Oryza sativa Japonica Group: one gene and its partners. The main gene of each other region encodes a partner of the protein of the gene in region 4 in a complex. Links are inferred from orthologs where the notes say so. Each region holds a gene or a part of one and is shown on either strand. Other genes may lie near its edges. The genes, in order: large ribosomal subunit protein uL3c; large ribosomal subunit protein uL29c; large ribosomal subunit protein bL34c; large ribosomal subunit protein bL21c; large ribosomal subunit protein uL13c; uncharacterized protein; 50S ribosomal protein L24, chloroplastic.

Evidence for each region.
Region 1: large ribosomal subunit protein bL21c (region 4) and large ribosomal subunit protein uL3c share a complex: the UniProt entries of both Arabidopsis thaliana proteins name them as parts of the 50S ribosomal subunit. The link is inferred for Oryza sativa Japonica Group from reciprocal best matches to the Arabidopsis thaliana genes RPL21C and AT2G43030.
Region 2: large ribosomal subunit protein bL21c (region 4) and large ribosomal subunit protein uL29c share a complex: the UniProt entries of both Arabidopsis thaliana proteins name them as parts of the 50S ribosomal subunit. The link is inferred for Oryza sativa Japonica Group from reciprocal best matches to the Arabidopsis thaliana genes RPL21C and AT5G65220.
Region 3: large ribosomal subunit protein bL21c (region 4) and large ribosomal subunit protein bL34c share a complex: the UniProt entries of both Arabidopsis thaliana proteins name them as parts of the 50S ribosomal subunit. The link is inferred for Oryza sativa Japonica Group from reciprocal best matches to the Arabidopsis thaliana genes RPL21C and AT1G29070.
Region 5: large ribosomal subunit protein bL21c (region 4) and large ribosomal subunit protein uL13c share a complex: the UniProt entries of both Arabidopsis thaliana proteins name them as parts of the 50S ribosomal subunit. The link is inferred for Oryza sativa Japonica Group from reciprocal best matches to the Arabidopsis thaliana genes RPL21C and emb1473.
Region 6: large ribosomal subunit protein bL21c (region 4) and uncharacterized protein share a complex: the UniProt entries of both Arabidopsis thaliana proteins name them as parts of the 50S ribosomal subunit. The link is inferred for Oryza sativa Japonica Group from reciprocal best matches to the Arabidopsis thaliana genes RPL21C and emb2184.
Region 7: large ribosomal subunit protein bL21c (region 4) and 50S ribosomal protein L24, chloroplastic share a complex: the UniProt entries of both Arabidopsis thaliana proteins name them as parts of the 50S ribosomal subunit. The link is inferred for Oryza sativa Japonica Group from reciprocal best matches to the Arabidopsis thaliana genes RPL21C and RPL24.

The regions. Positions count from the first base shown.
Region 1 is NC_089036.1:1,980,018-1,983,891, reverse strand, and holds large ribosomal subunit protein uL3c, read left to right. Parts: upstream 1-1,510; 5' UTR 1,511-1,604; coding exon 1,605-2,136; intron 2,137-2,869; coding exon 2,870-3,159; 3' UTR 3,160-3,310; downstream 3,311-3,874. UniProt on the Arabidopsis thaliana protein: One of the primary rRNA binding proteins, it binds directly near the 3'-end of the 23S rRNA, where it nucleates assembly of the 50S subunit.
Region 2 is NC_089036.1:32,213,675-32,217,539, forward strand, and holds large ribosomal subunit protein uL29c, read left to right. Parts: upstream 1-1,381; 5' UTR 1,382-1,412; coding exon 1,413-1,766; intron 1,767-2,707; coding exon 2,708-2,851; 3' UTR 2,852-3,127; downstream 3,128-3,865.
Region 3 is NC_089035.1:34,739,927-34,743,923, reverse strand, and holds large ribosomal subunit protein bL34c, read left to right. Parts: upstream 1-1,421; 5' UTR 1,422-1,445; coding exon 1,446-1,689; intron 1,690-2,802; exon of another isoform or gene 2,803-2,803; coding exon 2,804-3,063; 3' UTR 3,064-3,236; downstream 3,237-3,997. Other genes in the region: uncharacterized protein, read right to left, coding at 1-1,188. UniProt on the Arabidopsis thaliana protein: This protein binds directly to 23S ribosomal RNA.
Region 4 is NC_089036.1:9,030,709-9,034,878, reverse strand, and holds large ribosomal subunit protein bL21c, read left to right. Parts: upstream 1-1,364; 5' UTR 1,365-1,410; coding exon 1,411-1,713; intron 1,714-2,184; coding exon 2,185-2,265; intron 2,266-2,813; coding exon 2,814-2,915; intron 2,916-2,998; coding exon 2,999-3,073; intron 3,074-3,192; coding exon 3,193-3,276; 3' UTR 3,277-3,522; downstream 3,523-4,170. UniProt on the Arabidopsis thaliana protein: This protein binds to 23S ribosomal RNA in the presence of protein L20.
Region 5 is NC_089035.1:31,965,550-31,970,063, forward strand, and holds large ribosomal subunit protein uL13c, read left to right. Parts: upstream 1-1,595; 5' UTR 1,596-1,690; coding exon 1,691-1,915; intron 1,916-2,476; coding exon 2,477-2,662; intron 2,663-2,943; coding exon 2,944-3,114; intron 3,115-3,587; coding exon 3,588-3,707; 3' UTR 3,708-3,940; downstream 3,941-4,514.
Region 6 is NC_089035.1:25,929,377-25,932,192, reverse strand, and holds uncharacterized protein, read left to right. Parts: upstream 1-1,336; 5' UTR 1,337-1,420; coding exon 1,421-1,510; intron 1,511-1,618; coding exon 1,619-1,936; 3' UTR 1,937-2,197; downstream 2,198-2,816. UniProt on the Arabidopsis thaliana protein: Binds the 23S rRNA.
Region 7 is NC_089040.1:29,338,645-29,342,969, reverse strand, and holds 50S ribosomal protein L24, chloroplastic, read left to right. Parts: upstream 1-1,637; 5' UTR 1,638-1,717; coding exon 1,718-1,840; intron 1,841-2,949; coding exon 2,950-2,988; intron 2,989-3,063; coding exon 3,064-3,291; intron 3,292-3,404; coding exon 3,405-3,587; 3' UTR 3,588-3,809; downstream 3,810-4,325. UniProt on the Arabidopsis thaliana protein: One of two assembly initiator proteins, it binds directly to the 5'-end of the 23S rRNA, where it nucleates assembly of the 50S subunit. Required for optimal plastid performance in terms of photosynthesis and growth.

The DNA of each region.
Region 1 (3,874 bases), about 7.1 Mb from region 4:
TTCTAGAGCCTGAACTCTCTTGCTCTCCAGCTCTCTGTAACTCCTTCACACACAGATCCACCAGAACACAGGAGTAGGGTATTACGCTTTTCAGCGGCCCGAACCTGTCTACATCGCCCGTGTCTCGTGCATTTGCTCTCTCGCGAATATTCCACAGATCGAGGGTGAAGAACCTCACTTAGCGCCCCCGGCCGAACCGGCAAAGGGGGGCCTGCGCGGTCTCCCGGTGAGGAGCCCCAAGCTCCGACAGTGTTAGTATGTTGCTTCGTTTTGCATGCGAAGGGGGTTTTCAATCCCTCCAGAAGAACATATGCTAAGTAAAGCAATATTTTGTTATATATAAGTGATCAGGTAGAGCGAAGGGCATAGAAAACAATAAAGATATAGCAAAATGTGAATTGTGAAAATACTAGTGATGGAGCGCAAGATTTGTGTTTTTGAATCTCACTCGCGTAGAAGGCAATGGATTTCTCTCGTTGCTTTCAATTCTTGAACAACGTTATTGGTTCGATAGAATTTGAAGTGTTCAATCACTATTTTGTAGTGAGCTATTCTGAACTGTGTTAGTGCAATGAAGGTCATCGAGAGTGCAAGTGGCTAACCTACAAAAACCCACTTATATACTAAAACAAACCATCTGTACCAAACTCAGTTCCCATTGATATCTTCCCACCTGGTGCACAGGGGCACCGTGCTAAGGTACAATTGATCTAGGTAAAAACACTTGACTTTAAGTAAGGACACTGGATAGCACGTTATCTAAAATAAAACTCGGTAAAGTTATATGGTCTCAATGGCAAAGCTAGCAGCATACTTAAACCTGGGAGACAAGGAACGTTTACTAGTGATCCATAAATTTTCGGTATTGCTAAAAATATGTCGCTACAAATTACGATGGATTTCAGTCGGTTGTTTCAACCGTCAGATGCGGATGCAGAAATCATCGCAGTGTACGCATATCCCTCCGATTCTGTTCTCTTCTGATCTCTTCTGTTGTTTTAATGTTATTTGCTAATTAGGATTACTAATTAGTCTTAAAAACTAAATATCCGTGTCATCACAAATTTATAGTTTTGGGAATTACATCAACTTACACATGTAATTTTGAGAATTGCATATGTAATTTTAGTACTTACATATGTAATTTTGGAATTTACATTGTAAATACACTAAAATTATATATGTAATTTAGGGACTTGCAATGTAAATACATGCCGACTATTTTTTTGGTGAAAAATACGGCGCTATAAATATATATATAGTTACTCCCTAAATTTTTACATGTGCTATCAATGGAGAATAGTAGCAACATCAGCGGCGGAGTCTGTACGGTCGCCCGACCTGCCCAGGAGGTAGCTCCGCCTGTCTAGCCTAACCTGTAATTTATTATGCACCCGTGGTATTTTGCAACTGTTACGGAATCCACCTCCCCGGCAAAGAAAGCGTATTCCTAAAAAGCGCCTCTCTGCAGGCGGGAGGATAAGGGGGCATTAGCCGCAAACCCCAATCCAATCGAATTCAACACGAAAAACAACCAAAGCAGCAAGCGAAGCCGGGACACTGCTGGAGTGAGCAAATCCCCGCTCGAATCCGGGGCACCAAGAATGGCCATGGCGGCCGTGGGCATCGGCGGCGGCGGCGGCGGCGCGCTGGGCCTCCTCGCGCCGCGCCGCCGCGCCGCCTCCTGGAGCGGCGCAGGTGGCGCGGCTGCGGCGGCGGCGCGGCGGCGGCCGCTGGTGGCGGTGGTGCGCGCGTCGTACGAGGCCGGGGTCGGGGTGATGGCGACCAAGGTCGGGATGATGACCTACTTCGACCCGGCCACCGGCAAGCCGGTGCCGGTGACCGTCGTGGGGTTCCGGGAGGGCGGCAACGTGGTGACGCAGGTGAAGACGGCGGCCACCGACGGGTACGACGCCGTGCAGGTGGGGTACCACGGCGTCCGCGAGGAGAAGCTCACCCGCCCGGAGCTCGGCCACCTCGGCAAGGCCGGCGCGCCGCCGCTCCGCCACCTGCAGGAGTTCCGCCTCCAGTCCGTCGACGGGTACGACCCCGGCCAGCCGCTCGACTTCGCCGACATGTTCAAGGAGGGCGACCTCGTCGACATCTCCGGCAAGTCCATCGGCAAGGGGTTCCAAGGTCAGTAAACTTGATTATTTTTTTTTACTCCCTTTTCACAATGTGACTACCATTTCGCCCTGTCTGAATTTGAACAATGCTTTACATTGTGAGGAAGACTTGAGAACAAGCTTGAAATTTTGCTGTATCAAATTTACCATATGCTCACCAATGTTAGTGTACAGAATTGTTCTTGGGAAGAATCATTTAGCCTCTTCTCTTGATTAGCGTCCTAGACTTGCACAATGGCATTGCCAATATGGCAATGTCAATGCTGTTCTTGGAGTTGCAGACCTGTACCATGTCAACACATTCGTTATAGTTCACAATTTATTGCAACCATCAGCATCACTTGTATAATTTTCATGAAGTGAATATAACATCGTAAACCCGTTGCAATTGCGCTCTTGATTTGCTGCGACCAACGATTTGCCAATACCGCAAACATTATCCATTTCATGTATATTCTTCCCAAACAACATAATAAAAAAGACACAAATATTAGAGAAGGACCTAATATCAAATAATTAGAATGGGTGAGGCTTCGAACCCAGGTCGTCTAGCCTACCACCTTGTGGAGCTAGTTGGAAGACCCCTGGGTGTTTCTCCCCAAACAACATAATCGTTTATAGCATTCTCATGAAGTCAAGAGCACCAATATCTCTTTTAGTTCCTGATCATCTAATGGCAATATGGCATAATTGTGCAACTATGCTCTCAATTTGCGACTGACGGTTCTTGGACATCGACACAGGTGGCATCAAGAGGCACAACTTCAAGCGAGGGCTGATGACCCACGGCTCCAAGAGCCACAGAGCTCTGGGATCGATCGGTGCCGGGACGACGCCGGGTCGGGTGTACAAGGGGAAGAAGATGCCCGGGAGGATGGGAGGAACCAAGACCAAGATCAGGAAGCTCAAGATCGTCAAGATCGACAACGACCTGAAAGTTGTCATGATCAAGGGCGCCGTTCCAGGGAAGCCCGGGAACCTCCTCCGCATCGCTCCTGCCAAGATCGTCGGCAAGAACATCCCCAAGAACTAGACTATTTTTCTCATGTGTTTCGTCCTGTTCTGTGAGATTTGTGATCTGTTGTTTACTGAATTACTGTAAATTGGAGATGTTCTTTGCCCATGTCCAGGTTTTGTATACGCGTAACTTTGAATTTCGTAAAGCTAATTTTTTTTCTACTCAATCTTATCGATCTCCCGTTCTCAGTTCACACTCTCTTTGGACTAGAAGCTAACAGAATCTTAATCATCTTGTGCTTGGATGTCAAATTTGCAATCACTGTTTATTCTGTGTTCAGGGAATGGAAACATGTAATGGTAGACGGTAGTGTAACAAACACATCTTGAGAATCAAACTTCACCAAGCGTCAACAATCTGACAGTTTTACCAACTTCTCCAATACTGAATTATTGTAAACTCTCATGTCTGAACAACCGAAGAGTGCAGAGCGCGACATGGCCAACCGCAGCAAGTGCAACAGAGGGAAAATGTTAACTAAGCATCATGTACAAACTACACATCAAGTGCAACAGCACGAAATGTCAATGTAAAGCTTCCAGTCACCATTAACGCTAACTTCTACAATATCTTCAGCAATGACACAGGGACAATAGGTTTCTTGCATCAGTCAATGCGACACATTATTAGGCCATGAAATATTCTCACACAAGTCACCGAAGCTGGTAGTCCAACAGAACAAGACCTAAAACTGACGAAGCAATAGTTTCCATGAAATTAGCTGAGTTCC
Region 2 (3,865 bases), about 23 Mb from region 4:
GGTAGTAGGACTTAATATACCATTACGCATTTACGCTCACAGTGAAAGATCAAATCTCTCTCTCTCAAAAAAGGAGTGCAACAGTCAGACTTGATGCACAATCCATATGCTTCTTGATTCTGCATACCTTTCTGTCATTGTGTATTCAGCTTGTTAATTTCTGCTTTACATCGTTGAAGTGTTTCTGGTTGCTAAATAGGACAAATTTTATACTTGTAGATATACAAATACACTTAATTGAACTTGATTAACATAATTCTGTACAGAGCACAGCTTAAGCAGGCAAAGGTGAACAGAGATGTAGTTAACATGCCTTGGTGCTGATGTGTGAAGGTGTTCCAGATGCTTGGTCTTCTGCTACCCTCAGCTGCACCACCCTCGTACTGTAAGTCAAGAAAGGCCAACTCTTCAGATTTCAGACAAAGACAAAACATGTTACAATGTGACAGTTAATTTTTGGCAACTCATTCATTCCTTGGTGCCAATCTGAGCATTATTCAGTAGCATCGTGTAACACGCAAAAATCAACGAAAACAACAAAAGAAATTCCTTCTTTTTTCTTAATTACAGGTGGAATTAATCAGCTGTGGTGTGAAACTGTGAACCCGTAGGGAAGCAGGGGAGGGAGCTCCCGCTCCTGCATGACGGCATCCGGCGGCGGTAGCACGGTCCTCAGCCACGCCCTTTGTTGCACGGCCAGTGGCCTCCGTCCGAGATCCCCTTGGTGCCGCGACTTGGGGAGAGAGGCGGTCGGCGAATCAAAAGGCAGAAGCGAAGACGGACGTAGCGATGCATGTGATTTCCTCCTCCCCATCCCCAAGCACGGCAACCGAACTCATCGCCCCATCCAGCGACGAGGTGGATCTATGCCACCGCCGCCGAACTTGAGGGGAAAGACGGCACAGAACGGCGCGCTGGCGCGTGGGAGGGTCAGCCTAGGGCGTCGGAGGGGCGGAGGTGGAGCTGGAGCGCGGGGAGGAGGAAGAGGCGGCGACATCGGCGTAGGAGGACAAGTCGACCTCCGACGAATGAGGCGGAGGAAGCGGGGGCGGGGGCGCCGGCGGAGAGAAGGGCATTGCAGGTTTGGTATAACTTTTTCAAAAAGACCCCTAAAACCTCACATATTACAACGAGGTCCACCGCAGCTATTCCACACCGTTGATCTGTGATCTGACGGCTGCGAGAGGGAGACGAAAGCTGGAATCGTGCAGCGCCACGTGGAGGGGTTATTTGCACGCGAATCCGCGTAGATTTCGATATTTAGAGATGTGACATGCATATTAAGCAAGTGAAAGCCGTCCGATAATGCTTGAAGATTCGTGCCCCGAGTGGCTAATCAACATGACCAGATAAACCCCCTTATCCACGAACCCCGACCGGCAGAGAGCGCAGACGCGAGCGCAGCGCAAAAGATGGCGACGATGTCCCTCGCCGCGGCGTCCCCCCTCGCCTCGACTCCCCGTGGGCTCGCCGTCTCCACTCCCCGCACGGCCTTCCTCGGCCTCCTGACCGGAGGGGCGTCGCTGGCGCCGTTCCCGGGACTGGCGGCGGCGGCGGCGCCGCCGCGGCTGCCAGCGGGGAGGGGCGACGCGGCCGTGGCCAGGATGGCGAAGAGGGAGCAGGAGCTGGAGGAGATTCGGGCCATGCCGACGGAGAAGATCGAGGAGGAAGTGGTGGACCTGAAGGGGGAGCTCTTCATGCTCCGCCTCAAGCGCTCCGCGCGCCAGGAGTTCAAATCCAGCGAGTTCGGCCGCATGCGCAAGAGGGTATGTCTCTTACTCCATGGGGTACAGATATACCACAACTGCTAATTCCATTGCGAAAGTTTAGCATTTACTCCTGGCCAAAATGCGTTCAACCTACGAGTGGAAATTCCACCTTCTACTTCCAAATGGGTGTGGAGTGGTCGCATGTTCTGCTCAGTGTGTTCTGTTTACAAGGCCCTTTTGTTCAACCTCTAGTACTGAGTTGATTATGTTCAGATATATTGAGTTGATTTCAGGTTCAGAATAGTGGAATAACTTACCAATTTGTTGGTGGAATTTTGCCTGATTTTTATCAGTTGCATATTGGCCCATACTGAATTTACAGATGATTTGGGTTAATGCTTGGACAATTTCAGTCTCAGAAGCAATTTTTTTTTACTTAATTTGATTAGAAAGTCATGCTGACATCCATTTACGTATTCTTACATAGTATCTACTTTGGGTTTGTAGTATTGTTTATTGGATTTTAGTGCATAGAGTACTACATGAAGAATGATATTGCAATGCAATGTGTATCTGAAGAGCTTTTATACTGTTCTTGGGAAAGTAGTGTTAAATTAACCTTCAGTGGACCAAAATTTAAAATGGAACAAAACTTTGTTCTGAGGACGTCAAAATGCAGATAGTACACAAGAACTAATTCTACGGTCAGTTATGTGATACCTTGTTCTTCTTGAGGGCTTCTGATAAGTCAATTGTTATGAATTATCACTTGCTTTGGAGTTCAGGTCTCCACCTCTGCTCAGGGACAGCACAGGACAAATAGTTAGCAGCAGAGTAATGCATACTTATATCTGCCTCGATCAATGCTTCTTGCCTTTTAGGAGGAGGATATCAGATTTTTTTTTCCTGTTGTTTTTCTCACCCTGCTCATCTTGCTTCAATAGCAGCTTTCTACTATCTAAATTTAGCATTGACTTGGGTTGTCATCTTCGCATCAGATTGCTCGTATGCTGACTGTCAAAAGAGAACGGGAAATTGAACAAGGAATCAACAAGAGATTGTCTAGGAAGCTTGACAGGAAATGGAAGCAAAGCATCGTGGTTAGACCACCACCATCTCTAAGGGAGAACAAGGAGGAATAGAGAGCCACAAAAGCAGACAGTCTGTAGAAGTCATTTCATGCATGTCTTGAAGGAAGGTTTCTTTCTCCCTGTGGTTTCATTCCTTATAATGGATTGATATGTAATTCACATTAACTGATTTCCAAGTCCTTGCTGTCAAAACCAAAAGTTCTATTACCAATTCCATTTGTGTAAATTTCAGTTTATTCAAAATGTGTTGTCCATATATGCACTTATATTACTGATATATGAAACTGTGCTTAACGAGTGTATGCTATACACTTGTTGAAACTCAAACTGCCTATTCAAATTCACCTGTCACAAAGTTGTGGGTACGTACATACTATAAGAGGCAGATATGCAGAGTTCTAAAGAAGTGTCTCTGGAATACGGAGTAACAAAAACAAGAGAATTAGGCCATGTCTATAATAGTTCGCTTGGAATTTTGGTGCCCTGCTTTGCTCCAAACTCAAGTTCACTGTTTTATCAAACGTTTCAAAACTGTACAACTGTCTCCAAGCCCACGTTCTTGTGGCTTGTTGTGTCGGTCACCTAGATTTATGTTATTGTTCAACACTGATTTATGCTTAAACTAGCTCTGTTAGACTGTCCTAAAGCATGTTGGGCTTTCCCCTTCTACTCTAGCTTTAGAGTATGCTGCAGGTATCTCTGCACAGAGCTAGGGAGCCATCCTAGATCCATCATCAGTTTCATAAGCAAGCCCAGGTGGCTTGGCCCTTCAGCCAAAACTTGTTATTCTGATCTCTTCAACAGATCTTAACTTGAGATGTAGAGAGGCTTCACTCACAAGGTAATCTTTTAGTCAACTATTGTCTTCCTCTTTTTTTAGCTAATTGTTTAGTGAGCAGAGTACTGAGTTGGTGATTGTTTGAAGATAAATGCCAACAAGTGGAAATAGCATCCATGCAATTCTTTTGTTGAAAGTCTCAAGTCATCAAGGTCGAAGTGATGTTGCTGATAATTTGGTTGGGTAGATAAGAAATGAAATGAAGAGGATATCAGCCCCAGTTAATT
Region 3 (3,997 bases), on a different chromosome or scaffold from region 4:
GTACTTTGCCTTCAGCGCATCCAACAAGACCACGTTGATGCCCTCTCCCGCAACATACACCTGCCTTCCTCCTCCATTGAGTCTCTCCTCAATCCTTCTTCTGAGGTTCCCATCATTGCCACCAACATGAACAGAGTCAAAATCTACTTGCATCCTTGATATGATACCATCAACAATGTCCATCAAGCTTGGCGCCGTGCGTATTGCTCCCTGCGGTGGACGGAGGACATGCTCAGCTTCGCCCTCGCACACATTGTACCAATAATTCCCTGGCTCCACGTCCCCAAATTTCCTAACGATCAGGGGATCCCTCGACTTGGAGAACTTGGTGGGCGCAACCCTGCTGTCCTCGATGATGCGGACTCCAAGCTGACCCTGTGCTCCCCACTTGTCCCAATCCTCCCAGAACCGCTTGTGTTCAACGATCCCGACCACGGATTGCAGGTGCTCAATGTCAATATAGAAGGCGAGGCGCTTGCCCTCCTCGGGCATGCCCCCGGCGTAGGCGGCGGCGAGACAGACGCTGAGATCGAGGACGAGGGTGCGGTTGAGGTAGCGGGCCTCGGCGATGGAGCAGAGGAGACTACGAAGATAATGCGGCATGGGCTTGCACCGGTCGCCGCCGCCAAGGTAAGAGAGGTACTTGCCCGCGGCGAACTGGGAGCGCGAGAGCGCGGGTGGGGGCGGCGGGGCGGTGGCGTTGGTCCCGCCGCGGCGGGGCTTGCGGGCGAGGGGGCCGGAGTGGTATTCCCCGATGGAGGTAACGGAGTAGGCGCAGGTGACGGGGTCGCGGGCGACGGAGAAGCGGCGGTAGTCCTTGTAGTTGGCGGAGGCGGTGGATCGGGCGCGCCAGGCCATGTCGCAGGAGGACGACGGCGGGTCGCCGGGGACGGGGCGGCCGAAGCGGTTGAAGTGGACGTCGGGGAAGGCGTCGATGGCGCGGCGCATCATGAGGTGGAAGAGCTGCGGGTCGGCGCAGTCGAGCGTGGAGGTGGTGTCGCAGCTGGCCTGATCCTGCTGCTCCAGGTGGGACGTGGTGGGCGTCAAGGCGGCGGTGGGAGGGGAGAGGGAGATGGGGAGGTTGCGGAGGGTGAGGAAGAGGAAGGCGACGAGCAAGAGGGCGGCGGCGGCGTGGGCGGAGGAGGTGATGAGGGCGCCCCGCCCCAGCAACGGCCGGCTCGGGTCCATCCGGCGACGGCGACGGCCGACGGCGATGAGATCTGGTGGCTGATTGTGTAATAAAGCCCCGTCTGCAGGCGGCGGACGGTGGTGAACTTGTTTCTAGGAAGACGACGAACTGTTCCTCTTAATGGGCCTAACATGAGTGGGCCTAAGACGAAGGCCCATGATTTGGCCCAAGAATCGCATCTCGTCGTGGATAAGACGATAAAGCAACATTGTGTGGGGATAGCCATAGCCCTGCACCGCACCTCGACTCCCCAAACATGGCGCTCGCCCTCGTCTCGCCAATGGCGGCTCTCTCACTCCACTCCGGGAGGATCTCAGCGGCGGCTATCGGCGGCGGCCTCCGCTCTCGCAGGGCATCCCCGATGGGCGCCGCCGCCACCCCGTTCCTCCGGAGCTCCTTCGTCTCCTCCTCCTCCACGTCATCCGCCTCCGCCTCCCCCGCCGCGCTCTCTGCCGCGGTCTCGGCGTCGCTGACCTTCACCTCTGCCTCCTCATTTGCTGGTGAGAATGTGTACTTTACTCGTTCCTGATTCGCTTCGTTCTGTTGCTACCATTTGGGTTGGGGAACTAGATGGAGGAGAGAGTTGCCTGCAAAGAGAAAGGGAGGAATGAACTTTTGTGCTGCTGGTTTCGGCTTTAAGTACTGTACAATGGAGTGTTTATACTGTCAGATAGGTAGCGTGTACAGTTAATCAGTGCTTAATGTCAGAAGATAACTAAACTAAACTAGCGATTTTAATGCAATTGATATATTTGAAAGTTCTGATGGTATTCTGGCAATTTCCTGAGAAATCTTAAATTCAAACTCTGCCGTACTTGTTAGCTGCTGTACGCAGCTTGTTATAATCTGCAATGTCTGATCCTAAAGCCCACGCATTCTTATAGTTAACCATGTGCTAGAGAATTTTGCTTAAGATGTGGATTCCGATTAAGATTAAAAAAAATCACTTGTTTACACATCCAGTTTTTTAGTGTAAGAACGTGTATATATATTCATAATTCAGTGATTAGTTCTAGATGGTTCCATGTTAGGAAACCTACACGGCTGAAAGTTTCTTTTCTTCCTCCATGTACTGTGATACTGATATTGTGATTTCCAGTAGTGCCAGATGGACTGTAGATTGTAGTACATTCTTGCGACAGAATCATGAAAACATCACAAAAACTCAGGAAACTCCACTTTTTGGAGCGAGCGCATGAGCTTAATTTAGTAAACTCATTATGAAATATATCATCTAACATAATTATACTACGAACTAACGAAATCACTGAATCAAGAACGTTTAACTGGACAACTCAACTTTTTAAACAGTTCAGTTACAATTAATAGCCTTGCCACCTAAAGCAAAACCAAAATGCTCCTAAAACAAGCCAATAACGTTAGATTAAAGGAACTATTGCAATGATATTATCCTTTTGGAAAATGAACTGTACTTTACATACTAGAGTTTTTTTCCAAATGATCTTAGAGAACAAAAACACAAACTAAGGGCAATCAAATAGCCGGTTTCTGTGCTGTACTGTTGTATTTAGCAAATCCATGTTCTTATGTATCAAACCATATTTGTTCCAACCTACAAATGATTTCAGTATCCTAATATGTTACATATTTCAGGTTCATCTTTGGGAATTGAATTCAGCTACAACAGAGTTACAACAGGAAGATCCCGGATTCTGCAGATTAGGGCTGGAAAGGCTGCTCTGTGCATGACCAAGAGAAATAGATCTAGGAAGTCGCTTGCCCGTACACATGGTTTTCGCAGACGGATGAGGACTACTGCCGGAAGAAAGGTCCTGAAGCGCAGACGCGCCAAAGGAAGAAGGGTTCTCTGCACAAAGACGAACTCCCCCACTGGGAAGAAACGAATGTTCTGATTGAATCGCATTCTAAGTCGCTCTTTGTCACAATTGTAAGTGTATTTTTTTATCCCACGTTCTCGGTTATACTCAACCATAACAATTGGTGCAAATCCTTCACCCGGTGTCCGGTTAATGTGTGAAGTACATTATCAACACAAATTCAAGTTAGCCTTTTTGCTTGTGCAGTATTTAGTAGTTGTTTGCTGTGGGAATATGTTCTCCTTGATCTGCATTGCCATGGTTTTCCTCTGATCTATCTTGACTGCATTCTGAGCATAGATTTTGCCAAAGGGCCTAAATGCTAACTTGAGCAGTTGCTCAAATAAACTCATCAATTTTTCTATTCTGTAGTAGAACGTCCCTTTTATTTTCTGATACAGTCCAGTGAATTTTAATATTCAGATCATCTCATCATAGTCACTCCATGCTCCACTGTGTAACACAATTTATCCACCTCCTCTGTGCCAATCTCTTTGGTACACACTTATTTGTAAAACAACCTGATTGCCCATCCAATCCTCTGTCACCTTATAATTTTGCTACTATCAGGCGAAAAAATGGATAATATCCAGAACTCAACCTGGAATAAATGAAAGGCAACAAGTAGCAAAGAGAACATTTACATTCTAACAAACTGAATCCCTCCTCTTCTTCACTCGCATCGGCAAGCCGCCTTCCATCCTCAAGGTCACCGAGAACACAAGCCCTGGCCGTCCCTCGCCGCCGACGAACCTGAAGCTGAACCTCTCGAACACGCACGCCGCGATGGACTTCATCTGTATGTATGCCATCTCCTTGCCGAGGCACATCCTCGGCCCGCCGTGGAACACCGGGTACTTGAACGGGCTCTCCGGCCGGAACACGCCGTCCTCGTCGAGCCACCGCTCCGGCCTGAACTCCTCGCAGTCCGCGCCCCATAACTCCTCCAAGCGCGCCATGGCGTACGCGC
Region 4 (4,170 bases):
AAGGTTGTCCTTTGTACTCTTGTTTTTAAAGACAAACTTAGATAACAGTCTCACAGTTTATCAATGTTGTTTGATAGCCTTTGATGCGCTTGCATGGGCTGCAGCATATAGCAACAGGCCAAGCAATAGTGCGCTATACCTTGCATTGGCTACGGCTACACAGTCGAAGCAATGCCATAGAAATGTGACTACTGAACATGTCAATGTTCATTGTTGATAGAACTGGGAGTACGGAAGATAGTCTCTTTAAGATGGCTAGGTCAAAATATAAGCAAAGGAGGACTCAACAAGATTTGAAAAAAAAAACAACAATCAGGTCCTCCTCTGTCTTATGCCCACATTGGTGGTGACTGGTGACATACTTGATGGCAGTGGGTGCTACATGGACACGGCGAGCTACAGAAGATGTTGCCTTGACGCATTCCCAAATAGGGTTTCACAACAATAGAGGTTAAGGCCATGACAATTCATGAAAAGGTTCATCAATACCATAGATGAGTACATCCAGAGCTAAATGAGATTGTTCTTGGAGCAGAACCATCAAGGTCGACAACCTAATCGTTGATATTGGTGATAGAGACAAAGATTTCATGGCAAGTTGCATAAAAAAGCACCAAGAAGCTTACCTTATTAGGGCCTCCATAGCCTAAGGTTGAGGAATCCAAGCATATAGCAAACAAAACTCAACTGCTTCTTGAAGGTTTGCCACCAATAAAGAGGAAGAAAACTATCATCCTTGCGAAAAGCCTGCTGGAGAAAAGAAAGATAACTTGCCTAACTTCCCTTAACTAGGTCTAGCTTTCTCCTAACTCACGGTGATAGAGAATTACCCGGTGTTTTAGAGGGATACCACTAGAGAAGAAACTTCGATTGCCTTCTCCATGAAACCTAGGACTAGAAGGCCAACATCGCCGACCTTCACGCTCAAACTAAAAGAAAAACCCAACTAAATTGATTGACCTACAAAGAGAGAGTTTGTCGGACTTCTCTCCCTCACCTCGCCGGCGGCAAGGTCACCCGAGCCTGTGAGGAAGAGGGGTCGAGGAGGCGTAGTAGTTCAGTTTGGCTCTTTCGTCCGAGAGTTCACGAGAGTTCTCATCACTCGTGTTAATTCGCATATTCTTTATGGTCTAATCAACACATTCGATCCAACTCTTTTATAATCTTTAACTGATTAAATCAAACGATTCTAAACTTTAGAAAGGAGAAACAAAATGAGTACGTGCAGTATCGCTAAAAAACTAGTAGGGCATAGTTTCATGTTTTTCATGGGTATCTAATCTGAGCCGTTGATCTCCAATCGAACGGCTCAGGGTAACCTCCCTATCCACAATATTATCCCTCTTCTTTCTTTCCGATACGATAGCCCACACTCTCATCCACACTGCTCTTCCCCCCCGCGCGCCGGCCATGGCCACCGCGACGCTGCCCCTCCGCCTCCTCGCCTCCAAAACCCTAGCCTTCCCCTCCGCCCCGTCCCTCCCGGCCTCGCGATGCTCCCTCCCCGTCGCCGCGTCCGCGCCCCGCCGCTGCTGGCGGCTCCTCGCTTCCGCCGAGGAGCCGGCGCCCGCACCCGTGGAGGCCGAGGCCGAGGCGGAGGTGGTAGAGGAGGAGGAGGTTGAAGAAGAGGAGGCTGCGGTGCCGGAGCCTGTGGAGGCGCAGATCGCAGCCGCGGGCGCCGGGAAGGACGCCGACATCTTCGCCGTTGTCATGGTGGGGCTAGCTTGCCCTTGCCGCCAATATTTCAGATTTAGTCCTGCTCGGCTCACTGCAAACAAACAAAAAAAGAATCACATTTGTTCATGCTACATTACCTCGAATTCTTTAAATAATATCATTACACAGGCATTTGGCGCTAGTTGCGTTGCTTCTTGCGGTGAAGTGAGCATTTGATTTCAGGCTTGTGTTGCTTACTCTATGCTGCATAAGAAGCTTAGGATTCACGCGCCAATAGGAATGCGCGCACGCCGATTATTAGTATGTACAGGACACACCATTAAGAAAACGGCGCAGAGAATTACAGTGTTTTCGAATGATACAATACTAGTCTTACAGAGAATTGTTCGGATGCATTTCTGAAATATGCAGGAGTGCATCTGAGGAGGGTTTCTCTGTGTTTTGTTTTGTATGAGCGCTGTGAATAATAACGAGGGAGCTATTTTGATTATTTTTCTTCTGTCGCAGATTGGGTCGAGACAGTACATTGTGATGCCTGGAAGGTATATATACACGCAGAGGCTGAAAGGCGCCAATGTCAATGATCAGGTCTGGTGCTTCCACTTTAGAGGATGCAGGAGGATACTTGTTACACCCTAACTAGAAATTTGGCCTATTTTTGCTAGTTAGTTGGTTTGTATTAATCCATAAATTTAAAAGGTATATGATGCTGAGGTGGCTTCTAGATAAGGTGATTGTAAATTAGGAAAAGGCAAATATATAGTATTGGTTATTTGGTTATTATTCTTTTTCATCCATGAGATGCAATAACAAACTTCAAAACAACGAGGAAGGTTGTACATTCTGAAATTATGGAAAGTGGTAGTGACCTACTTCATTTTAGAAGTAAAAGAGTCACTTCCCTGTAATTATAACACTTCAATCCCAGTTCCTGATTTCACATAAATATCTTATTCAGAACTTTTCGATAAGTTTTGTGTAGCCTGCATATATTAGCTTCGTTCCTTTTCTAACTAAAATTACTCCTCTGATGCAAAGCTTCCAATCCCATAGGACCCATACGTTGGCTTATGTTGCTGGCATTTTTAGTATTGTTTTCCCAGAAATTCTCACTTCTGGATAATGCTGATGTGCAGATAATATTAAACAAGGTATTACTGGTATCAACTAGAGACAAGGCTTACATTGGCATGCCAGTGGTGACCAATGCTGCTGTTCATGCAGTGGTTGAGGAACAGGTATGTCCTCTGTATGTTGTCGGGTTAATCATGGATATTCAAAATTACTTGACCCTGATGTCTCCCCAATATTTTTATATCAGGGACGGGATGATAAAGTGATAGTCTTCAAATATAAGAAGAAGAAGAAGTACCAGAGGAAACTTGGTCACAGACAGGTAAGTTTTTCCAATTACCTTCTTCAAGAAAGGTAGAATTTTATTGATAAATACTGATTCAGTTTTTACAGCGAAGCAATTAGAGTTCTTTTAGATTAAAAATCTCTGTTGTTTTGCAGCCAAACACAAGGTTAAGAATTACCGGCATAAGTGGATACGAGGACTTCCCTGCTGACCCGATACTTGAGTATGTTCCAGCTTAAGAGCAATTGTAAGTTCTGTAGTTACAAACAACTGGTAGTACATTAGAATACGAGTGCTACCTTTTCTTGTCTGGAAGAACAGTTTTTGAACAAAATTTGCTTTGTTCATGTGTTCGAGTGCTGCCAGTCATCCAGTTGTTCCATCCTTTGTTTATTCCACCATCTGTTTTGTTCATTCTGATATTGTGTATCCTAGCCAACTGTATTATTTTCACTGTGCTTAAAAAAAGAGAGAGCATTTTACCACGATACGGATGTTTTAGCTTTGGTTTGTGTAACTTTATACAGTTTTTGTGACTACTGATGCTAATTTCACTGTTTTTGGCATCTGTACCAATGGTGCTTAGTTTATTGAACGGGCTATGTCCTAATATTTTGGGATCAGTTACAGTACTATGTTCAATGCAGTTCTGGTCATGATTTATTCGAGTGTTCTAAGAGAAGTTCTGCAAGGCCATATATAAGGTGTTTGTGTGCAACCTTGTACTGCTTAGGGCACATAAGCAGCTGGTTAGGACTTAGGCCATATAAGCATCTACAAGGCAGGTGGCTGCATGGATTCTGCTTACCACTTTTTAGAACCTTGGTTCATGAAGAACTGCAGAAGTTTTGCCCTTTTGAATCCTTACCAAAGATAACCAGTGGCATAAGGCGTATAATCTTTTGGCAAACTATGACTGTTTCAGTAGTCCTTCACCCCTAATTGCATATTACAGTTCTGAATTATAGTGGTTTTCAGACATCTTTTGCCTAATTGAAACCCTTGTTGAAGTAAAAATTTGACCACTGTAAAGGTTCATAAACTAAATATAATCACACTAATTTGTTATATGCTAGCCAATTTTCTTGATATATAAGACTTGTTAATTGTCAACATGGTTGTATGATGCTATA
Region 5 (4,514 bases), on a different chromosome or scaffold from region 4:
GTGTAACATATGAATTTGTGATGCACCCGGTGCTGCAATCTTATCAATGAAAATGATATCATCTTCTGTCCTTTGCACCGTAGGAAAACATGGACACCAATTCTCCAATGATCTTACCTTTTCAGTTATCTTTATTTGTCGCCAGAAACATAGCCTAATTTTGGGTATATGATCCTATATCACCTGTAGTGCTGACTTGCTTGTGTGTGTGGACAATTTAACATGGGGCAATTACTCATTTGACCCTATTTTGATGTCTAACTATCAATTTGACCTTACTTTTCTAGGTTTGCTCATTTGACCATGCTTTTTAAAATTGAAGATCAGAGATGACCCTATTTTGTGAAGGGTAGATAACGGTGTTAACTAAGAGGGAAATTGTCCGTTTTGCCCCTGCTCATTTACCATATTATATCAAAGTTTTTTCTTCATCGGGACTTTTTAAATATTTGCAATGATTTTCATGGCTTTTACAGATCTGAGACAGATTTGTCTTCAATTTAACAGAATTTTACACAAATTTGACAGCATATTGTCCAACAGCAAAGCATATTGTCCAACAGCAAATCAGATCCAAATCCAACAATAAATTCGTATCCAAATCCATCAACAAATCCAACCACAAGTTATCCTCCGTCTCTCGTTCCACACGACGCACGACGGCAGCCGGCGGCGCCGCCCCTCCGCGCGGCAACAGCCGGCGCTGCTGCCCCTCCTCCACCCTCCGTGCGGCAGCAGCCCCGCCGCCGCTCAATCTCTCCGCTTCGAGCACGGCAGCCGCCGCCGCCGCCGCTCCCTCCTCCTGCGCGCCGACGCCGCTACTCCTTCCCTCCTCGCGCGGCCGCCGCCGCCGCTCGCCGCTCCCTCTCCTTCCTCGCGCGGCCGCCACTCCCTCTCCCTCCTCGCGCGGCCAACGCCGCCGCCGCTCCCTCTCCTTCCTCGCGCGGCCGCCACTCCCTCTCCCTCTACGCGCGGCCAACGCCGCCACCGCCGCCGCTCCCTCTCCCTCCTCGCGCGGCCGCCGCTACCGCTCCCTCTACGCGCGGCCAACGCCGCCGCCGCCGCCGCCGCTCCCTCTCCCTCCTCGCGCGGCCGCCGCCACCGCTCCCTCGATGCGCCGCCAACGCCGCCGCCGCCTCTCCCTCCAGCCCGGTCGGCGGCAGCTCTCCCCGTCACCGGCGAGGTGGGGATTGGGACGAAGAGCTGGGGAATGGAATGGGAATCCTAGGGTTAATTTGTAACACGGGGGTATTTTGGTCACTTTAGGGTAGTATTTTTTTTTTCTTTTTTCTAAGTGATGTTCTACCGGTGAAAGCAAAACAGGTCAAATGGAAACTTCAATTTCAAATAACAGGGTCAAATAAACAAACCTAAAAAAATAAGATCAATTTAGTAGTTGGCCTTTAAAATAGGGTTAAATAAGCAATTATCCCATTTAACATATCGGAATTTCTACGCGTTTCTCTAGCTTTGATGCATCTGTGGGCTGCAAAGCCCAGCTAAGCAAAAGGCCCATCTCTTCCTCTTCCCCTTCTGGCTCCCTCTCCCCCCCTATCCCCTTCTTATCCGCTCTGCTCTCTCCACCTCGCCTCCCCGAAACGAAATGGCAGTGGCGTTCCACTGAACCAGGCCAAGCCAGACGGACAAGACTTCGCCGCAGCCGCGTCCTCCTCACCGCGCCGCCGTCGCAATGGCTACGGCCATCGCAGCCTCCGCGTTCCTCTCCTCCGCCTTCGCCAGGGACAGGCCGCTCCCCCGCCAGCGGCGCGCGGCGAGGCCCGCGACCCGCCGCGCCGCCGCGGGGGGCCTGTCGGTGCGGTGCGAGCAGAGCGAGAAGCAGAAGAGGCAGCCGCTCTCCGCGCTCGTCCCCCGCGAGCAGCGATTCATGTTCGAAGGCGACGAGCTCTGCGGCCCCGTACTAACCCTCACCTCTCTTTCTCTCTCCCGTATACATTCTTCTCTTTCTCAGTTCAGAAAATGAATAGTAATGCTACATTCCTTGGATAAAGGGAAATTTTACCGTGATTTAGGATTGCCGCTTATTTAGGAAAGCTCAAGATTAGTCCCATTCATTTCTAAATCCGTAAGTCACTTCATCTTGCTCTATTGGGTCAAATCCTTTCTTTACATGAATAATGTTAGGGAAAATACACAATGTTTTTACATGTTACTATACCGTATAGACCACCATCTTATTTTATTTAAAGTTATCTAGTTGTAATTTATTACGAAAGAGGATTCCATAAAATGAACTGAAAATAACATGGAGGGAACGTTGGTCTTTCTGAATTGGTCGCTAACATTGTGTTGTATTACTCAACAGTGTTCGCACCTACATGACTACCATATCTTTTTATCTGTGGATGTTTAGGTTTGTGAAGTTAGAATTCAGTACGGATACCATTCTTGTGTTCTTTCTCTCTTTTCTGTGCAACCTGTTCTGTGTAGTGATCGGACCAAGGAATTTAATTTGCAGGACATATGGAACACAACATGGTACCCTAAGGCTGCAGATCATGTAACTACTGAGAAGACATGGTATGTTGTTGATGCAACAGACAAGATTCTAGGTAGGCTTGCATCCACCATTGCAGTACACATCAGAGGAAAGAATGAGGCCACATACACTCCAAGTGTGGACATGGGGGCTTTTGTTGTTGTGGTATGTATGTTTCTTGAAATTAATTTATAAAGTTAAATAGTGCACACAATAAGATCCTCTGTAGTCCCACAAAAGGAAAAGAGGTTTAGCAGCACATACAAATAAGCACCAAAAGGTATCTGGAAGCTGAGGTCCACCTGAAGGCATTTTGAAGCTGATTTCATGTATATATATTTATGTTACTGTGTGCTTTTAATACTAATGCATCTCTGAAGAGTAATTGCTACGCATATACTATTGTAAGTTCCTGAACTACCATGCTGAACTCTATGTTCACATAGGTTAATGCAGAGAAGGTTGCTGTTTCTGGCAAAAAGCGGTCACAGAAGCTCTACAGGAGGCACTCTGGACGGCCTGGTGGAATGAAAGAAGAAACTTTTGATCAGCTTCAGAAAAGGATTCCGGAGAGAATTATTGAACATGCAGTGCGTGGCATGCTTCCTAAGGGCAGAGTAAGACATCATCTCTTAGAGCTCTTATCTAGTCAGTTTCATCAAGTCTTTTTGACCTTAAGTCAGCCTACCTGGGTATACATATGCTCTTATCCTTATTTTTGGTCAATTTCTAATACATATCTGAAAATGGGTATCCTCGTTCTGTTCCATTATACTTCATTATTGTGTATAATTCCCCAACTTTATATACCCTGTTCATGGAAATATTCGCTCTAATTGAATGCCGAAACGGCGTGGGCTAACGAAGTACTAGATGTATTCTCCCAAAACTCCTATGTTGCCTGTAAGACATCTTATGATTGCCTAAAGCCTTTTACTTATGCCTAAGTTCATTTATAAAAAAAAAAAACGTTTACTATGTCAACCTCTCAAGTTCTCATATGTTAGTGACACTGACACATGTAATCCGACCAACTACAGCGGTTGTACGTGCTCTATGTAGCCTTCTCAACATTTTGAACATTTTGCAGCTGGGAAGAAGACTGTTTACCCACCTCAAGGTGTACAAGGGAGCAGAACATCCCCATGAGGCTCAAAAACCTGTTCCACTGCCTATCAAGGATAAAAGAATACAGAAGTCTGAGAAGTAGATAATTCCTGTGGAGACTAAGAAAGACACAACAATCTCACGTAAATTCCTCCCCTCGAGATTTTGTCCAATCTTTGGAATGTGATGCATCTGTCTGTTTGGGGAATGGAGTGTAAAATTTTTTGTAATTTACTTCCTCCAAAAGTTTGTGTTTCTAAGTCATAGTTCTTGTTGATTACATATCATGTACCTAATACCGTACGATTTTAAGCAATCCGATATTTCCATATCCAATTGAGTAGTGCAATTTTGACCTGAGATGAGCTTGATGTGTCATTGTTTGGGGGCAAAAGTGTTCTCTTTTTTCAATGGGCATCAGGTGTTTCTAAATTCTCTTAATAGTTGATGTAGATCTGTTAATTAATTGCACGTCCGTGTTTATCTTCCATATAACGAAAAAGTTGACAGTACCAATCGTGTGCTCAAGTAACACCTATTGTACCATGTACTCATTCTGTAAAAAAAAAGCCAATTTAGATGAAGATCTGATACCACCTAAAAATAATGATTAGGAGGTTATCCAGATTTATATTAGGTGGTATCAAATTTTCATCTACGGGGTTGTTTAGATCCAGAGGTGTAAAGTTTCGACGTATCACATCGGATATTATATAGAGTGTCGCATAGGGTGTTCGGTTACTAATAAAAAAAACTAATTACAGAATCCGTCAGTAAATCGTGAGATAAATTTATTAAGTCTAATTAATCCATCAATAACAAATGTTTACTGTAGCACAATATTGCTAAATTATGGAGCAATTAGGCTTAAAAGATCCATCTCGTAAATTAGTCGCAATATGTAAAATTA
Region 6 (2,816 bases), on a different chromosome or scaffold from region 4:
AACTGTAGATTCATTGGCCGCGGCACGTGGGGCTCCACCGGCAAGGAAGATGACGGTTCTAGACGCCGCTCCCCTCCAGTGCGGGGATTAGGCTTAGCGCTCCCCTCCATCTTTCACCGGCGGCGTGGGGTCTGTGACCGCCACTCCCCTCCAACGCATGGGTTGGGCTCGGCGCTTCCCTCCACCTTCCACCAGCGATGCAGGGTTCATGACCGTCACTCCCCTCCAGCTCCACCTCCCTTCATTGGGTATTAAGCTTGCAATCGTCACCGGATTGGCAACGCCCTCATCGAAGAAGCTCTCTCCGTGCAGTCGTCGACGAGCCTGAGAACCGCCAGATTTTCGCCTGAGTTGAAGAAGAAACTGATCTGCGTTGTGCGGTGTTGAGCTAACAGAGGTATTGACAGTTGTTGTAACGGAGTGGCATAGCTCAAATTTTGCAAAATTTCAGTGGCATGAACCTGATATCGTGAATAGTAATGGCAAATTGGTAAACTTGCAATAACATGATCCAATTAACCCATATCTTTGGGGAGGCTAATGCGCACGTACGTGCTAGCAATTTAGCTGGCGCCCGCGTCAGTTGGCCCCCTCCCCTGTTCCCGCGTGCTTTTCTTTCTCACTTTTTTTTTACGATTTTGGCGCCTGGATCCGGGTGCGTTTTTCTTTTTTTTCGCCATTTCTTTCTATTTTTTTAATCTTTCGCACACCCCTTTACAAATGTAGAGTTGAAAGTTTTAAATTTTGACTTCAAAGTTTTTAAATTTGACTTGAAAGTTTTCAAATCTGAGTTGAAAGTTTTAAATTTGAGTTGAATTTTTTCAATTTGAGATGAAAAGTTGAAAGTTTTCAAAATTTGACTTTAAAAAAAATTCAAATTTCGAGTTGAAAGTTTTCAAATATGGGTTGAAAGTTTTCAGAATTTGACTTGATGTATAAATTTCTTTTCAATCTGTTACTTTAAAAAATTTTCGGAAAAAACAAATCTTATCTTGATTATCTAAAACTAATGTATTTTTTTACACGCTAAAACTAATGGACTAGTTACTACATGCGCTATGGAAAGAATCTAACCGCGCCCGTGCGGTGCCGTGCATACGCGTGGGCCAGAAGTGCGCGCCCGCGGCGCGTATGCGAGAATTAGGAATTCTGCATATTTTTACCACGTAAACGAAATAATTGCATACATTTTTTTTTCTGGGCCAGTAAGTAACCAACGTGTATCAGCCCAAACCAAACAACAATTAAGAAAGCCCAGCCAAAGCGAGGCAGGCGAGCGGCCACCCGCACGGCACCAAAGCCTCAAAAATTGAGAATCATCAACGCTTGAGAGGATAACACACACCAGAAACCGATAAGGGACACGAAACAGGGGAATCCGGAGCAAAGTGCGACGCGAGCGCGCGAGGAAGCAGCAGCCATGGCGCTCTCCCTCTCCACCTCCTTCCTCCCGACCCAAGCCGCCGCGGCGGCCACGAGGACCACCCTCCGCTCCCTCGTCCCCTCCCAGGTACGATTCCTTCGATGCCCCCACAACCGCGTAGGCGTAGCGCCGCCGAATCGGAGATTCGGAGGAGGTGATTGGAACTGGGCGGTGGTGTGACGATTTGCCGTGCAGAGGATGCGGTGCTCGATGCGGAAGAAGGGGCTGCACCCGGAGATCTACGAGGACGCGAAGGTGTACTGCAACGGGGAGCTGGTGCTGGTGACGGGGGGAACCAAGCCGGAGTACACGGTGGACGTGTGGTCGGGGAACCACCCCTACTACGTCGGCGACACGTCGGCGATGGTCGTCATGGACAGCCAGATCGAGAAGTTCCGCAAGAAGTGGGGCCACATCAAGGAGTACTGGCCCGAGGACCAGTGGAGGGAGATGCACCCCGACGGCGACCCGGAGTTCGACCCGGAGGAGGAGGGATCCGCCGGCGCCAGCTGAGCCCCCGCTTCGCCTCTCGCCTCCGCCGCCGGCCTCGCCGGTGCGGTTTCTCTTGGTTGATTTTGGGAATTGCGTAAAATGGATTAGCTCCTCTTGCTTGCGCCTCTCGTTACACGTGCATTCGCATTGCTCTCTAGGTGTTCGATCGGTGTTCTCAGTGGATACGTGTGATCATATTTGTGGTATCGAACTGTTTGTTCTCTGCCTGTACTCTTTGACATCGATATAAAATGGAGATATTGCAATTTGCACACTCTGTAATTGGACATTTCCAACTCGTTGAATCGATGCATGCTAGTGTTGGTCTGGGCTCTCGAATAGAATCGTTGCATACATCAGTTTGTCCGGTCTTCAGAATAAGCAGTAAGGGGCTGTTAGTTCACGTACTAACATTGCTAAGGTTTACCATGTTTTCTCGCTAAAGTTGAGGCCATCAAAATCCAAGCCACGCTCTAGCCAATAAAGGCTATGTTTAGTTCCCAAAAACTTTTCGCAAAAACATCACATCGAATCTTTGGACACATATACGAAGCATTAAATATAGATAAAAAAAATTAATTACACAGTTTACATGTAAATCGCGAGACGAATCTTTTGAGTCTAATTAGTCTATGATTAGCCATAAGTGCTACGGTAACCCACATGTGCTAATGACGGCTTGATTAGGCTCAAAAGATTCGTCTCGTGGTTTCCAGTAACCCACATGTGCTAATGATGGCTTAATTAGGCTCAAAAGATTCGTCTCGTGGTTTCTAGGCGAGTTATGAAATTAGTTTTTTTTTATTCGTGTCCGAAAACCCCTTCTAACATCTGGTCAAACGTCCGATGTGACACCCAAAAATTTTCATTTCACCAACTAAACAGGCCCAAAATAAAAGCA
Region 7 (4,325 bases), on a different chromosome or scaffold from region 4:
GATAGCCACACGAAAGGGACAGGAGCGATTTGCTGATGGTGACCAGTGGAACAGGCAAGAATGTAGTGCACGTGTTATCCATGAAATCCCTCACATGTACACCTAAGGTTTATCACTAAATACAGTAACACACAAATACACAATGCATATAAACGTAGACTTTTGAGTCAACAGTTTTGTTTATCACGAAATATAGTAACTAACACTCAAATACACAATGCATAGAAACGTAGACTTCTGAGTCAACCGTGTTAGAATAGCTTGGCCAAAGATGCTCGATGATTCGAAATCTTCGGTCAAAAAGCTTGGAATTCATAGTATAACGACCACTGTCACTATGCTATTTGGTTTTAGGTAGAGAAACCAAGAGTTCTTCGATTCGAAATTAGGTTGGTTCCTCAACCTCCTCACATGGATCGGAAGGCTTCGATTCGAAGTCGTCCGATTCACATCGGTGCCATCTACCTACCCATCCCCATTCCCCACCGCCCACGCCCAACCCTATCAAATGAAACGCGAGATTGCAACCCCCCAAAGAGAAGAAAACGGCAGCGGAAATGGCGACGTCCCGATCCCCCACGCGGCGTGATGGGGAAGAACTCCTCAGGCGTACGCGCATCGGCAGCGTCGTCACCGCGAAAGCGCCCCCCAAAAGAGAGAGGAAATGGGTCCCAGAAAAGCGCAAAAGGGACGGAACTTGGGGGGTTGCTTGCCTCCGCAACTGTCGCTTGGCTTGCGCGCGTCGCCGGCGACGTCGAAGCCGCCGGAATCCGGGAGGCGCCACGCCTGGGCGCCCCCGCCGAAGCAGCATCTCGCGGCGCGTGGCGTGGTGATGATGCGTGTGGAGACGAAGCCACGCAACGCAACGAGGAAGACGACGAGCGTATGCTGGGCTGGGCCTTATCCGAAAACGGGTGTCGGCCCATATCAACCCAGGACGTTCGGCCCACGTTACTTGACCACAAACGGGATTGCGGACGACGAGCGGCCCACGACATTTGGGCCTTAACCGGATTGCTGACGTGCGTGATAGTAAGTCTATTTTGCCTCCCTCATGTTCTCTGCGAGTCAGCCTGCCACGTCAACAGGAACCACCCTACAAACCATCTAAGGGTTGATCTGCTACGGTTTTCGCTTATTCGAATCGTTTATTAGCAAATAAAAATTTATTTATGAGTAAAATGTTTATATATGTCCATAATAACTTAAAGCAAATGTTGTAAAATATAAGCATTTTAAAAAAACAAAAAAGCAAATTCAAAACTAAGTTCTCAAATTCAAATTTTGGCTCATAAATATAAGCATAACCAAACAATAAGACCGATTTTCCTCCATTTTGCGGTTGAGGGAGGTAATTCAATCAGGAGCAGAGATGAGAAATGTACAATAGATTTTATCTGTGTAGGTGCGACCTGTTCTTGTTGGGTCGAGACGGGATTGCGGCTTACGTGAGGCCCGCTATATTTGAGCCTGAACGGGATCGCGGCTGACTTGGGCCGTAAGGTCCGTTGTAGTTGGGCTGGATTACGATAGGCCTTTCATTAGGCCTTTATGAGTCTTACAAGTGGGCCAATCCATTCGGCCTAGAGGCCCATTTGTCATGTAGAAAAGCGCTCGCCATTATCCTGTCCGCGAGCACACGAAGGCGTTCGTTATCCTCTGCTGCTTCTCTGCGGTTTGAGCGAGCGAGGGAGGAAGAGGAGGGGAGGAGACGAAGATGGCCGGGGTGGCGGCGTTGCAGGGCGCGATGGCGTCCCTCTCCATCTCTGCGCCGGGGGCGGCGAGCACCAGCAGCTTCTGGGGCCACCCGCTCTCCACCTTCGCCGCCGCGCCGGCTGGGGTTTGTGCCGACTCCCAACCCTGATTCTCATTTTTCGCATTCCTTTATGTTTGCTCTGCTCTTATGATTCGCTGGAAAAGTAGAAATGCCAGCTTGCACTGAGATTTAGGATTTTAGAGCTCACCAACAGCGTGGCATTGCAATGGTGATGTCTACATCGCCTCACTGTACTGTTGTTGCCTTCAGGAGTTCAGGCTCAGGACCTCAACTAGCCAACAACCAACGTTGTGTCAAAATTTTGTGGTATATTTTTTTTAGAGAAAAGGTCTCAAGGATTTTGTGGTATAGTTGAACCTAGTTGGCTAGTATAAGGAGGGTTTATATGAATTAATGAATGCTTGAAATCTCAAGTTTGAGTATATCAACTGAGTGAATTCAGAAGTTAGAAATTGTGTTGTCTACCATGGGATGTGGCCTGTTATGTTTCAGTTTAAACTTGAATATTATTTTTTTCCTATGGTGGTATAAGCGATGGATACCCAATATTCAGCCTTTCAAGCAGAGGATTATTTTTCTGAAAGATGTGCCCTCTAGTGAGACAGACCATTTCTTGTTCTAACCTGCTGTATAGATCACATTTCGCTGGCTAGAAACAATTTTGCCTTTGAACTTTAAATTACTCAACAGTAGAAATTTCACAGAAGACTTCCATGGGAAAATGATGGAAACTCATTTCACTCGGGGATAGCCTGTAGCAAATGATTGGCACACTCGGTATACTTATCAGACTGAACTTGTTCTATCTTTTGTATATTCTTTTTGGCGTTCCTTAGCTCTTCTAGATAGTCTACTGCACTTCGTCCTCAGAATGAGACTCACTCACGACTAATTACTTACCTGGAAAGTGGTGATGAGAGAAAATAAGGCCGAATAATTGCTCTTGAATGGAGTGACTGAGCTATATATGGCACTTATATGATGAACTGTACTAAAATCTGCACTTATATGAAGAAACTCGTACTAAAAGATCATATGATTATCCTAGATATTCTTGCCTAAGAAACATCGTGAGCATGATTCATGTCATATCTCAAAAGCAGCTGATTATTACATTTTATGTCATTTTCATAAGAAACTCTGACAAGATATGCATAAATTTTTATATGCAGGTTAAATTTATGATCAAGACATGCCCAATTCAAATGAGGGTAAGTTTCAATTCTTTTTTGGTCTGCAGCTTGCTATTTACTCAAATGTCTGAAATTTCCCTTTTTCCAATGCAGCTTAAGCGATGGGAGAGGAAGAAGTGTAAACCAAACAGTCTTCCTGTCCTGCACAAGATGCATGTTAGGATTGGCGATACAGTACAAGTCATTGCAGGCCGTGAGAAAGGTAAAGTTGGAGAAGTTACGCGGCTTTTTAAGCACAACAGCACTGTAATAGTGAAGGACTTGAACTTGAAGTCCAAGCACAAGAAAGGAACAGAAGATGAACCGGGTGAAATCGTCATGGTCAGCATTGTTTCTCTTGAAACTTCTTTCTGTGCTGCTTCTAGCTAGTGTCGTATATATAGTTTCAGATGCCTGATCGTTAACCTATGGTTGTTGGTGTTTTCTTTGATCAGATTGAAGGCCCCATTCACAGCTCAAATGTGATGCTCTACTCAAAGGAAAAGAATGTGGCGAGTAGGGTTGGACACAAATTCCTTGAGGATGGAACGAAGGTTCGGTACCTGGTCAAGACTGGTGAAATAATTGACAGTGCTGAGAATTGGGTCAAGGTGTTCAAGGAAGGAAGTTCGGAGTGATCATGGTAGCATGGGAGTCCTGCACATTTTCTGAACTGCACTTTTTGTATGCCCAAATGAGTTGATGCTTTTCTAGATTCAGATTTCAGAGTCTTGTAAATTTCTATACAGTTGCCAACATTTTTTTGTATCCAATGACATGCTTGGCTTGTTAACCAGCTACTAGAATGGTTCAGCTACATTCGCTCATACAAATGATTTTGTAATGTTGTTGCTGTCCCCTGTCCTGAGCTATTATTCGCAACCATTGACTAATTTGGTCCATTTCCATATAGAAATATAGATGAGATGTACATATAAAACCCATGAATGATTGATAAGTTCTTTTTTTTAAGGAGTAGTAAGATAGGAGTATCATAAAAGAAACAAGCTTAGCAATTTTTTTTTTGAAACAACCCGCAGCGATGTTTCTATTGATATAGTAGGAAAAAAATACAAATATATAGTGCTAAAAGATAGCGATGTTTCTATTGATATAGTAGGAAAAAAAATACAAATATATAGTGCTAAAAGATTATAGTCAGAAAAAGGAAAAAACAAATCTGATTTGCCATTGATAACATGAAAGCTCAAGAGCTCGTGCTGACGGCTGAGAATCAACATAGCAGATATGGCACGCAAATATCAAATCCAGGTGATCGTAAGCAAACCACAGTTTTCTGCTTGCGTTTTGCTCCGCGAGGGAAACCTGACACCTGTCCAGATCCCATGAGACGAAGATGCAACCCATCAAGGTCA